3 linked regions of the Coturnix japonica genome follow. The protein of the gene in region 1 interacts with the protein of each later gene in a biochemical or structural test. Links are inferred from orthologs where the notes say so. Each region holds a gene or a part of one and is shown in the gene's direction. Other genes may lie near its edges. The genes, in order: HDAC1, CDKN1A and MYOD1.

Region 1 (2,806 bases):
TGACATCCAGCAATCTTGGCTTCCTGTCACACAGTTGAGCAGTACCTACCAGTGCTGACCGCAGCGTTCTGATGTTGTTTCTTGAAGTAGCTGTGCTTTGTGATCCCAAGATTGTGCGTCCCCAGAATGTATCACTTCTGTTAATCCTTGGAGACTTGCAAAACTGCAGAAAGTTTACAAAGGAGCCGTGGGAGAGAATGTTCCTTGTCTAAATGCGTATTCAGTGACTGACCTAAATATATATTGGGTAAAACCTTTCCTTAAAGTCCATTGTTTGGCACACTGGGAATTCTGGGCTGTTTTCGTGTGTGAGCTGGGCTAGAAAGCTGTGCACTTATTTGTGCAGATCTCGTGCTCTGAGGTGTAGGTGGGGGAAGCAGCCAAAAGTGTGTGCATGCGAAACAGAGGCTGCGTTTCTCGTCCATTTCCTTTGTTTGTTTGTTGAGACATCCAGTGTTTAAGCCCTTGGGTTTGTGCCCAAAGCACACACAAACAATGATGTGATGACAAGAGACCTGTGCTTCACCCCTGAGCCTCTGCCATTGGTCCTTTGCCCTTGTGCTAACATTTTGTAATTCTTCTCCCAACAGCCAGCGCTGTGAAGCTGAACAAGCAACAGACAGATATTGCTGTGAATTGGGCAGGAGGCCTTCACCACGCTAAGAAGTCAGAGGCTTCTGGCTTCTGTTATGTCAACGATATTGTCCTGGCTATCCTGGAGCTCTTAAAGTAGGTGCAGTTCTTTGCCCTCTTCCCATTTGCTCTGATGAAATGCAGCATTTTGACTCCTTTCTGATCCTAGGTATCACCAGAGGGTCCTGTACATTGACATTGATATTCACCACGGAGATGGTGTGGAGGAAGCCTTCTATACCACAGACCGTGTGATGACTGTGTCCTTCCATAAGTATGGAGAGTACTTCCCAGGAACAGGGGACCTGCGGGTGAGAATGGAACCTTAGCAGAAAATTGCTCTGAAATGTGATCACTCTTCCATTTGCCGTCATACTGATTGTGCAGTTTGTGTGCTATGGTGACCTTGTGCTCTGTCCTGTCTTTCCCTCTAACAGGACATTGGTGCAGGCAAAGGCAAGTACTACGCTGTCAACTATCCCCTCCGGGATGGGATTGATGATGAGTCCTATGAGGCAATATTCAAGCCGGTAAGTGTGCTGAGTGATTCTTTGTGCATCATACTTTGTCACTGGGAGGCTCATGGAGCCATTCTTTAAGGAGACTCAGACTGCTGTTGTAAGATTCCTCAGTGGCTGTGTTCCTCCCTAACAATTGCAGCCTGTTATCATTTAGCTTTTCTTGGTAAGAGCCCCAGTGTTCCCAGTATATGGGAGTCAACAGCTGTGGGAACACCAGGGATGTCTTCACGTCACTTGCTGACATGGACATTACTGTGTTGCTGTGACACTGTCCTGTGGAGAAAGTGTAACAATGAGTTTCTTGTTTAGGTGATATCTAAAGTGATGGAGACATTCCAGCCTAGTGCAGTTGTCCTGCAGTGCGGGTCGGATTCACTGTCTGGGGACAGGCTGGGTTGTTTTAATCTGACCATCAAAGGTAAGAATACAGTGTTTCCATCAAAATAACAAGGCTGGGTCTGTGATGCCAAGAAGCCAGAACTGTGCAGCACAGTGCCTGAGCTAAATTGGCATAAGTAATCTTATTACTTTTCACTGAAAAATGGGTCTTTGTGCCATGGCGTTATTGCCTTTTTCCCTGCTGCCTTTGCTGCAGGTCATGCCAAGTGTGTGGAGTTTGTCAAAAGTTTTAATTTGCCTATGCTGATGCTGGGAGGAGGTGGCTACACAATCCGCAACGTGGCCAGATGCTGGACCTATGAGACTGCTGTGGCTTTGGACACTGAGATCCCAAATGGTAATTTTCCCCTGGAACTTTTGAGGCAAGACAAGAGACAATGGCTACTTACCTAGTGACAGAGCACAGGGAGGGAGTGTTGCTGCAGGGAGGCAGGAACAGCAAGATGTTTCATTAGCTCTTGGTTGTTACTGTGGAAGAGCTTTTTGAGTCTGTGGTTTGCAGTAGTTGCTCTTGTTTGCATTACAGCCTTCTAGTTTTCCCCTCCATCAAGAGATACCCAGCAGTCTTGCAAACGAGATGACCTTCTACTGCTATCTTTTGTTCACACTGATAACATTTAACTGCCAAGTGAGCTTAGACTGCCCTGTTGCTAAGCTGGCTGTTTTGATCTGAGTTTGGGCTATGAAATGGTCAACTCCTACCTCTGGGAAAGTACAGCTGTGCTCTTACTTCGCACTGAAATCTGCTGTATATGAGGGATCTCATTACTGGTCCAGAGGTGATTTGATTTTTGTTCTATTTTAACTCTTATGCAGAACTCCCATATAATGACTATTTTGAGTACTTTGGACCAGACTTTAAGCTGCACATCAGTCCCTCAAACATGACTAACCAAAATACCAACGAGTACCTTGAGAAGATCAAGTAAGTGTTTGCCCTTCTTCACATGGCTGACACCTTTTGCTGGGTAAATACAAACATGTTCCTTTCCTGGCTGGCTCTAGGCAGCGTCTCTTTGAGAATCTGCGCATGCTGCCTCATGCCCCTGGTGTCCAGATGCAGCCAATTCCTGAGGATGCTGTTCAGGAAGACAGTGGAGATGAAGAGGAAGAAGATCCTGAGAAGCGCATTTCAAGTAGGTGCTTGCCTCTGGCATGGCTGCATTGCTCTGCTGGGAAGTGCACTGCACAGAGCCTGTACATCTCCAAGCATTAGTGCGCAGTATCTTCTGACCTCTTCTCCCCTTCACTCT
Region 2 (3,749 bases), on another chromosome or scaffold:
CCCATCCCCAACTCCATTCCATCTCCATCCCATCCTATCCCCATGCACACCACAGAGGTTGCCCTTCCACGTGCTGGCTCCCCCTGGGATGCAGCCAAACCGATTGCATTCATCTCACATCGCTTTGCTTCATTCTTGCCTCACTGCAGCATCGCTCCTGCTCTTCCTCCATCAGTCATCATTGCAGATCACACTCCTCCATCAGCTTCAAGAAGCTGCCAGCTCTGACAGCCTCATTCTCACCCCACATCCAGAAGGATCCAACCCCAAAGCGACCACCTTGGCCTGGCCCAGAGCTGCAGGAGGAACTGATGCTGGACAACACTGCTGTGTGACGCACTGCCTGCAGCCGGACATGTCCAAACATATCCTTTATCTGCTGGGAAATGCTGGTTCAGCCTGGGAACGGATGCATTGGGGGGCTTTGCACGGGGGGCTTTGCACACTGCAGGGCTCAGCTGCAGCCCACCAGCTGCAGGCTCACCCAGCTTAGTGCACCGCCTGCCTTTGTGCTGCCATCTCCTTGCACCCCAAGCACTGTTTGCTGCCCAAACCCAATTCCTTCCCCCTATGCCCCCTGCAGCCCACCCAGCTGAGCCCTGGCACTGTGCTGTAACCCTGACGGGGAGCTGCACAGCGCTCAGACCTCCCCTGCTGTGTTTTGGGGGGGGTCATTTTGCAGCGGGGCCACACGTCCCTGCATGCAACCCGCAGCTTTGCTGCATGCAGGACATGCACGGGCTTGTTCCTGCTGCTTGCTGACCTCAGGCCAACCGGAGCTCCCCAGCCCAGCTGCATTGCTGGGGGGTCCGCTGGTAGAGCAGAGCCCACCTCGGGGGCAAAGCACCCAGGGGTGGTCCCATAGGACCCCCACCCCAACCCCCGTCACTCCCCATCATTGCAGCATCCCGTGGTGACCCAGGAGGGGCCCTTTTTACTCTTCAATTGGCAAAGCCGTATTGAAGACCCTCCCGCATCCTTCGCGTTGTATGGGGGGGGGGGGGGTCCCGCATCGCACAGTAGGCGACGACCCGCTTTCCATATGGGGGTCCGTGCAGCCCTATGGGGGGGGGCACTGAACCCCCCCCCCGATAACAGCTGCTCTGCGGTGGGGCGGGGGGGGGAAATCCCGAGCGACGCCGTGAGGCCCCTCCCACCCTCCCTGCCCCGATATAAAGGGCGGAGTGCGGGGCTGGGAACCGCAGAGAGCGACGGGGAGTGTGGGGTGAGTGCGGTGCTGGTGTCGGTACTGGGGGGGGGAAAAGAAGGGAAGGGAGAGAAACCCCAATGGGGGGTGATTGGGGACGGGGTCGGGGGGGCTTTGACAGCTCCGCTCCTCCTGTGGGCCGGACCGGGTCGGACCGGGACATGCTGGGACTTGTCTTGCTCTGAGCTCACCCCGCTGATAGGAAGCGGCTATTTTTAAGTGACCCATCCCGGGGGGGGGCAGAGCGGTCCCTCATCTATTAACGCAGTTCTGTCCGGGTTCAATGACCCCCTGTGCCAGCCTGCCCTATAGCCGAGATCATTAACACCCCAGGGGTCCTGGGGGCTCCCATTATATGCACTGGACTCATATCCCCCCCTCTATATCCCCCTCCCCACAGCCGCAATGCCGCTGGCGCAGAGCAGGACCGGCCCGATGCCGTGCAGCAGCAAAGCGTGCAGGAACCTCTTCGGCCCCGTGGACCACGAACAGATCCGGAACGACTTCGAGGAGCTGCTGAGGCAACAGCTGGAAGAAGCTCAGAGACGTTGGAACTTCAACTTCGAGACGGAGACGCCCCTGGATGGGCACTTCAAGTGGGAGAGGGTCCTGATGGCCGAGCAGCCCCCCCGGGTAGAGCCCGGCAGCAACGGGAGCTCAGCACCACGCAGGGTCCCCAGTAAGGATGGTGTCGGTGGGGCTCGTTGTGGGGCAGCCCAGCAGAGCTCGGAGCAAACCAGGGTCGGTTCTGCACAGCACTTGAAGCGGGGGCAGACCACTGTTAAAGGTGAGTGGTGGAGGGGGGATGCCCCTCATGCCATGGGACCACCCTTAGCACAGAACCATCTTTGGAGGGGAGAGGCAGCAGAACCAGCCTCGGGTGTCCCATAGGTAAAAAATACCCCCATATGGATCACCAACCTCAGTTCCCATGGCCCAAAAGTGGCTCAGCAGTGGGGATGTGATGGGACCAAGTGATGCACAGCCCCATAAATGCGGGGCTTTGAAGCTATGAGCCCACCTGGCTGGGGCTGGGGTTGGGGTTGGGGTTGGGTTGCTGCCCCCTCCTTCTGCTCCTGATACATCCCAACTTCTCTTCTTGCCCTGCAGACTTCTACAGCTCCAAGAGAAGAGTCGTCCATGACAAGCCCAGGCTGTGACTGCTGCTGGGGATGGATGCTGATGCTGCCGTGCCCTGGAGGCTGTCGTGGCTCTTTCCCTGCCCTGCACTGTCTGTACAAAGCGATACCGAGTCTATAGTTCCCTATTTATGAGTAGCTCTGGGGTCCTGAGTGGCCCATGCTGTGTGCAATGTATAGGAGGAGCCCACGGGAAGGACTAAGGACTGGAATGGAGCAGGTGGGGCTGAGGGTGTCTCCTGCCCCGTGCTGGTGTTGCCCAGCAGCATCCTGCTGTCTCATGGAGCAGCCCCATGGCCCTCCCTGCTGTGGATCACTGGGTGTGAGCCCTGCATGGAGCTGCTCCCAGTGTGACTCAGTGATGTGTTGGTCACACAGTGGTGACAAATGTACTTGGAGGTGTGTACCCTTGAGGCCGGCACAGCTCGGGAGGCACTGGGCTGCTCCAGGCTGTGCTGCCCCATTGGGTTCTTGGCGTGGTGTTGGCTGGCTGTGCATCGTGCAATGCTGACATTAAGCTGGATGTTGAGCTGCTGCTTGGCACTGCCAGCAGGGGCTGCCCCTGCAAGAAGTGCCAGCTTTTCTCCTGGACTATTTCCTACTCCAGAGCCTGACCTGGCTCCTGCTGTTGTCTCTGTGACCCAGGGATGCCCTATAGGACACAGCCCTGCTCTGGGTGCTGTCGGATCTCAGCACTTTCACTGGTTTCCCCCTCTCTGTATTGGGATTGGGATTGGCACGGGGTGTTCCCATGTAGAGGAGGAGGGTGCTGCTCCCAGCTCATACCGTGATGCACTTTGCTGTCAGAGATGCTGGCAAGTGCCCAGCATTCAATGTTTATTTATGAAAACACTGTTTTAAGGCTTCTTGGAAGGGGAAAGAACCTGTTTGTCTGCGAGTGTAACTGAATAAACACTTGTCTGGTGGAAAGAGAAGGGGTGGCTGTTAATGGGAATGGCTGTTAATGGGAATGACTGCTGTGGGGTGTGCTATGGGGGGTGGGGGGATGTTATGTGTGGGTTGGGGGTTGCTTTAAGGGTGCAGCCACAGAGGTGCAGTTTGATGCTGGTGGGGAAGGAGCTGTGATGTATCTGTGGGGGGGTTTGGGATGTCCAGCTGTGGGATGGATCCAGCAGGACAGGGATGGGGGCTCCTGCTGTGGGTTGGGGTCTATGGGTGGGTTGGGATCCATTGCTGAGCCCTTTGTGGTGCTGCAAACAGGAAACGTGTGCACGTACCGGCAGTTGAGTGCAACCCCAAAGCGGAAGGCTGCCTTGAGTAAGAGAGAGAATGACGGTGTGGGGCCGGGAGGTGCACAGCAGCGATGCAGGCTGTGTGAGGCTGATGACCCCCCAGCCCTGGGGAGCCCCACAGTGTAACCAGGCAGCACCACCCCAAAACTG
Region 3 (3,749 bases), on another chromosome or scaffold:
AAAGTTAATGAAATCACACAGCAGAAGTGCTGCAGTACTTCAGTACTGGAGAAAGACCTGAACTTTGCAGCTCAAGTGATATTCCAAACCCAGATTCCAGCAGCCTTGAGAGATGTTACCAAAGCCACACAACTCTTCCATATCCCCAACTCTGCCACAGCTTTCTGCCCAAGAAAGCTTATTGCACTCTTATTGCACAAGCAATTGGACTGCAGTGTGGTTACACGTGCGGCACAATGCCACTCGCGACGTAATGTCAATCTCTTCAAAGGCTTTGGAATTAAGGTAAGCTGAGCCTCGAGTTCAAAGGGGAACCTGAATCGCAAACGTACACATCTGAGCCGAGGTGCAAAGAGTCACTTACTGTAACTCAGGTGGGTCACAGCAGAACCACGGCCGCACGACTCAGCCCAGGAGCCGCGCGTTTCCCGCAGTCGCGGTGCCCCGTGCCTCAGGCCAAGCTCCGATAACCGTGCCCGAGCCCCGCCCGACCCCTCGCAGCTCCGGGGCACGACCCGTCGATGGCGGCACCCGTCCCCATCCTCACACCTCGTGGTGCGGGCGCTCCGCTGGGGTTCTGACAGAACAGCTCCCGAGCGGCGTCACGCGCCCGAGCGCCGTCAGAAAGCACGCGGCAGCAGCCCCGGCGCGTCGCTGCGGGGCGAAGGACGCGGCGCTCCGCGAGCCGCCCGTCGGGCCCGGAGCCTCTTCCCGCAGCTCCGACGGGGCGGTTCGCTCCCGTTCCCTCCGCTTTCCCCGAGCTCCGCCGACGGCCGCGGGCCGCTACTCCCCCCTGCAGGCGGCCGCGCCGCGCCGCAGCCCCGACCCCGTCGCTGTCCTCGCCCCGCCGCCCCGGCTCGTCGCGCCGTCCCCCGCTCCCGGCTCCGTCGCGGACGCCCCCGCCGTTACCGTGCGGCCGCGGCCGTCCCTCCGGCGAGCGGGGATCCGGCACCCGAGGGCCGCTCGGCCCTCCCCGCGCCGCCGCGCGCAACTCCCCCTTCCCCCCCGCAGGGGGCCGAGGCTCCGGGGGCTCCGTTAGCCGCGGCCCCCTCCCCGCCCCGCCGCGCCCCGCCCCGGCCCGCCGGGGGCTCCGGCATAAATACGGCCCCGAGCGGCGCTCCCGAGGCGGTGCGGCTGGGGAGGGGTCGGCGGTGGTGGTGGTGCCAGCAGTTACAACCCGCGCCGGTGGCCTCGCCTGGGACAGGGTGCGAGGACCCCACTCCCTGCCTGCCTTGCACAGACACCCTCGGGACCCCCCCGCGCCCCCCGACCACCCTCTCGCCCCGCTCCGCATTCCCGATCGCCCCCATGGACTTACTGGGCCCCATGGAAATGACGGAGGGCTCCCTCTGCTCCTTCGCGGCCGCTGACGACTTCTACGATGACCCGTGCTTCAACACATCGGACATGCACTTCTTCGAGGACCTGGACCCCCGGCTGGTGCACGTGGGTGGGCTGCTGAAGCCTGAGGAGCACCCGCACCACCACGGGCACCACCACGGGCACCCACACGAGGAGGAGCATGTGCGGGCACCCAGTGGGCACCATCAGGCCGGCCGCTGCCTGCTGTGGGCATGCAAGGCCTGCAAGAGGAAAACCACCAATGCTGACCGCCGCAAAGCCGCCACCATGAGGGAACGGCGGCGGCTCAGCAAGGTCAATGAAGCCTTCGAGACCCTCAAGCGCTGTACCTCCACCAACCCCAACCAGCGTCTGCCCAAGGTGGAGATCCTGAGGAACGCCATCCGCTACATCGAGAGCCTGCAGGCCCTGCTGCGCGAGCAGGAGGATGCGTACTACCCAGTGCTGGAGCACTACAGCGGGGAGTCAGATGCCTCCAGCCCTCGCTCCAACTGCTCCGATGGCATGGTGAGTGCCCTGGGCAGGAGATGAGGTCCTTCCTCCTCATAGTTCAGCAGCAGAGGGAAGCAGGGTCCCCACACGCCAGGTCTCTGGGAAGAGAAGGGAAGTCTGTTAGATTCCTGGGAGGAAGGTTAGGCAGTCCCTGTGTGCCTGCAAACACAATGGCCTCCAGGCACCTCTGATTTCATGCTCTGCTGTCTGTCCCTCAAAGGACAGCAGTGAGGCAGGTCCCCTTGGGTGTGGAAATTGCAGGGGAAAACGTGCAGGGCAACTGGTCAAGCATAGTGTTTGCTTTCTATCATTCATCGGGATAACAGGAGGATGGCCCAAGTAACAGGAGTTGTTTTCCTTGACCCTTAAGAAGGCCAGCTCTCCTCTCACTTGACCCCTCTGCAGACATTTACCAGCAAGAAAAAGAGTCCAGGCTTAGAGCCTTGGGTTATGGGGAGGGGACAAGGGTGGCTGCAGGACTGTTGCCGAGAACAGGACCACAAGGACACTTCTGCATTTTTTTTTCTAGTGGGGATAATAATCACTGAGCTGAGTTCTTGGGACTGTGAAATAGTTGGCAGGTGGGAGAGAGTTACAGAAAGATCCGCTCCTCAAAATGCAGCCTTTTCATTGTAGATTCACATACTGAACAGAAATATATTGGTCAGGATTTGGCGGTCTTTCTTTACAAAACCAGAGTAAGAAGGGAAACTGCAGGAAATCCAAAGGTAGAGTAGCGGCTTTCTCAGAGGAACTCAGGTTTGGAAAAGTCTTCCAAAGTTAGATCAAAAGAATTCCTCTCCTGAGCTTCCTTTCCTAAACTGACCATACACGTAGGGCAGTACTGATGAGTTTGCTGGAAAACCTCATCTCTGGTAAAGCCACAGCTTCTGTCATAGCAATGGTGGTAATTTGCCTTTGGAACAAGCATGGATTTACACATTCTGGTGTAAATCCATTCCTTTTTTTTTTTTTTGGCAAGTTAATTCTGTCTGCTTCATTCTACAACACAAACTTGACAGCATTTCAGCTGAGAGCGATTGCACAGATTAGCTACTGAAATACAAGATCAGATGGTTCCTGGACCTGTGGAAAAGGCAGCCCTCCAGCCTCACTCAGATTATTCTCCTTTCCAGATGGAGTACAGCGGGCCGCCTTGCAGCTCTCGCAGGAGAAACAGTTATGACAGCAGCTACTACACAGAATCACCAAATGGTGAGTATCTACTGTTGAGAATATGTCTATGTGAAGCACGGAGGATGGGGTCAGCCATTGCCGTAGCCTCCCCATGGCCTTCTCCATCCCCAGTCACTTAGCCAGGCTGGGGAAGGAGCCTGCCTGTCCAGCCAGTGAGCTGCTGAGGCTGGCAGAAGCACTGGATTTCATGTAAATGTATTTGCAAGTGCAGGGGATATGTTATATCTGCATTTCCCATTTTACAAATAGAGTGTCTAGGAACACATCCTTCTCTGCTGCTGATTTTTAGTCTTAACCCCATTTTGCCTGAAGCCTGTTCTAACCAGGTATCATTGATCCAAACTGGAGAGATGCCTGATGGAATTCCAGTCTTCCATTCCTTTTCTGAGGACTGAAGTAGAGCCCTGGATCCACCCTCCCTGAATAGCAGCCTGTTTCACTTGGGTCTCTCCTCTGTTTCACAGATTGCAATCCATTTCCTGATAACTGGCATCCTTCACTCATACCCATTTCCTCTGATTCTTTGCATGCTCTCAGATGTGCACTTCAGCCACTTAGTGGGCTTTTCATTTCTTTATGAAAGAACTACATCCTATGATATAAGTACACAGTGGGTAAATGGATCACATTTGCCTTTGTTTTCAGACCCAAAGCATGGGAAGAGTTCTGTTGTTTCCAGCCTCGACTGCCTTTCAAGT

Evidence for each region.
Region 2: the proteins of HDAC1 (region 1) and CDKN1A form a complex in vitro, tested with the Homo sapiens proteins (2 studies listed by BioGRID). The link is inferred for Coturnix japonica from reciprocal best matches to the Homo sapiens genes HDAC1 and CDKN1A.
Region 3: the proteins of HDAC1 (region 1) and MYOD1 form a complex in vitro, tested with the Homo sapiens proteins (2 studies listed by BioGRID). The link is inferred for Coturnix japonica from reciprocal best matches to the Homo sapiens genes HDAC1 and MYOD1.

Annotation. Positions count from the first base shown.
Region 1 is NC_029538.1:4,505,122-4,507,927, reverse strand, and holds part of HDAC1 (histone deacetylase 1), read left to right. Parts: intron 1-590; coding exon 591-729; intron 730-802; coding exon 803-944; intron 945-1,070; coding exon 1,071-1,163; intron 1,164-1,463; coding exon 1,464-1,572; intron 1,573-1,749; coding exon 1,750-1,890; intron 1,891-2,369; coding exon 2,370-2,478; intron 2,479-2,558; coding exon 2,559-2,689; intron 2,690-2,806. UniProt on the Homo sapiens protein: Histone deacetylase that catalyzes the deacetylation of lysine residues on the N-terminal part of the core histones (H2A, H2B, H3 and H4).
Region 2 is NC_029541.1:1,948,371-1,952,119, forward strand, and holds CDKN1A (cyclin-dependent kinase inhibitor 1), read left to right. Parts: upstream 1-1,103; 5' UTR 1,104-1,225; intron 1,226-1,607; 5' UTR 1,608-1,612; coding exon 1,613-1,994; intron 1,995-2,317; coding exon 2,318-2,367; 3' UTR 2,368-3,276; downstream 3,277-3,749. UniProt on the Homo sapiens protein: Plays an important role in controlling cell cycle progression and DNA damage-induced G2 arrest. Involved in p53/TP53 mediated inhibition of cellular proliferation in response to DNA damage.
Region 3 is NC_029520.1:16,197,649-16,201,397, forward strand, and holds the start of MYOD1 (myoblast determination protein 1 homolog), read left to right. Parts: upstream 1-1,136; 5' UTR 1,137-1,308; coding exon 1,309-1,869; intron 1,870-2,990; coding exon 2,991-3,069; intron 3,070-3,696; coding exon 3,697-3,749. UniProt on the Homo sapiens protein: Acts as a transcriptional activator that promotes transcription of muscle-specific target genes and plays a role in muscle differentiation. Together with MYF5 and MYOG, co-occupies muscle-specific gene promoter core region during myogenesis.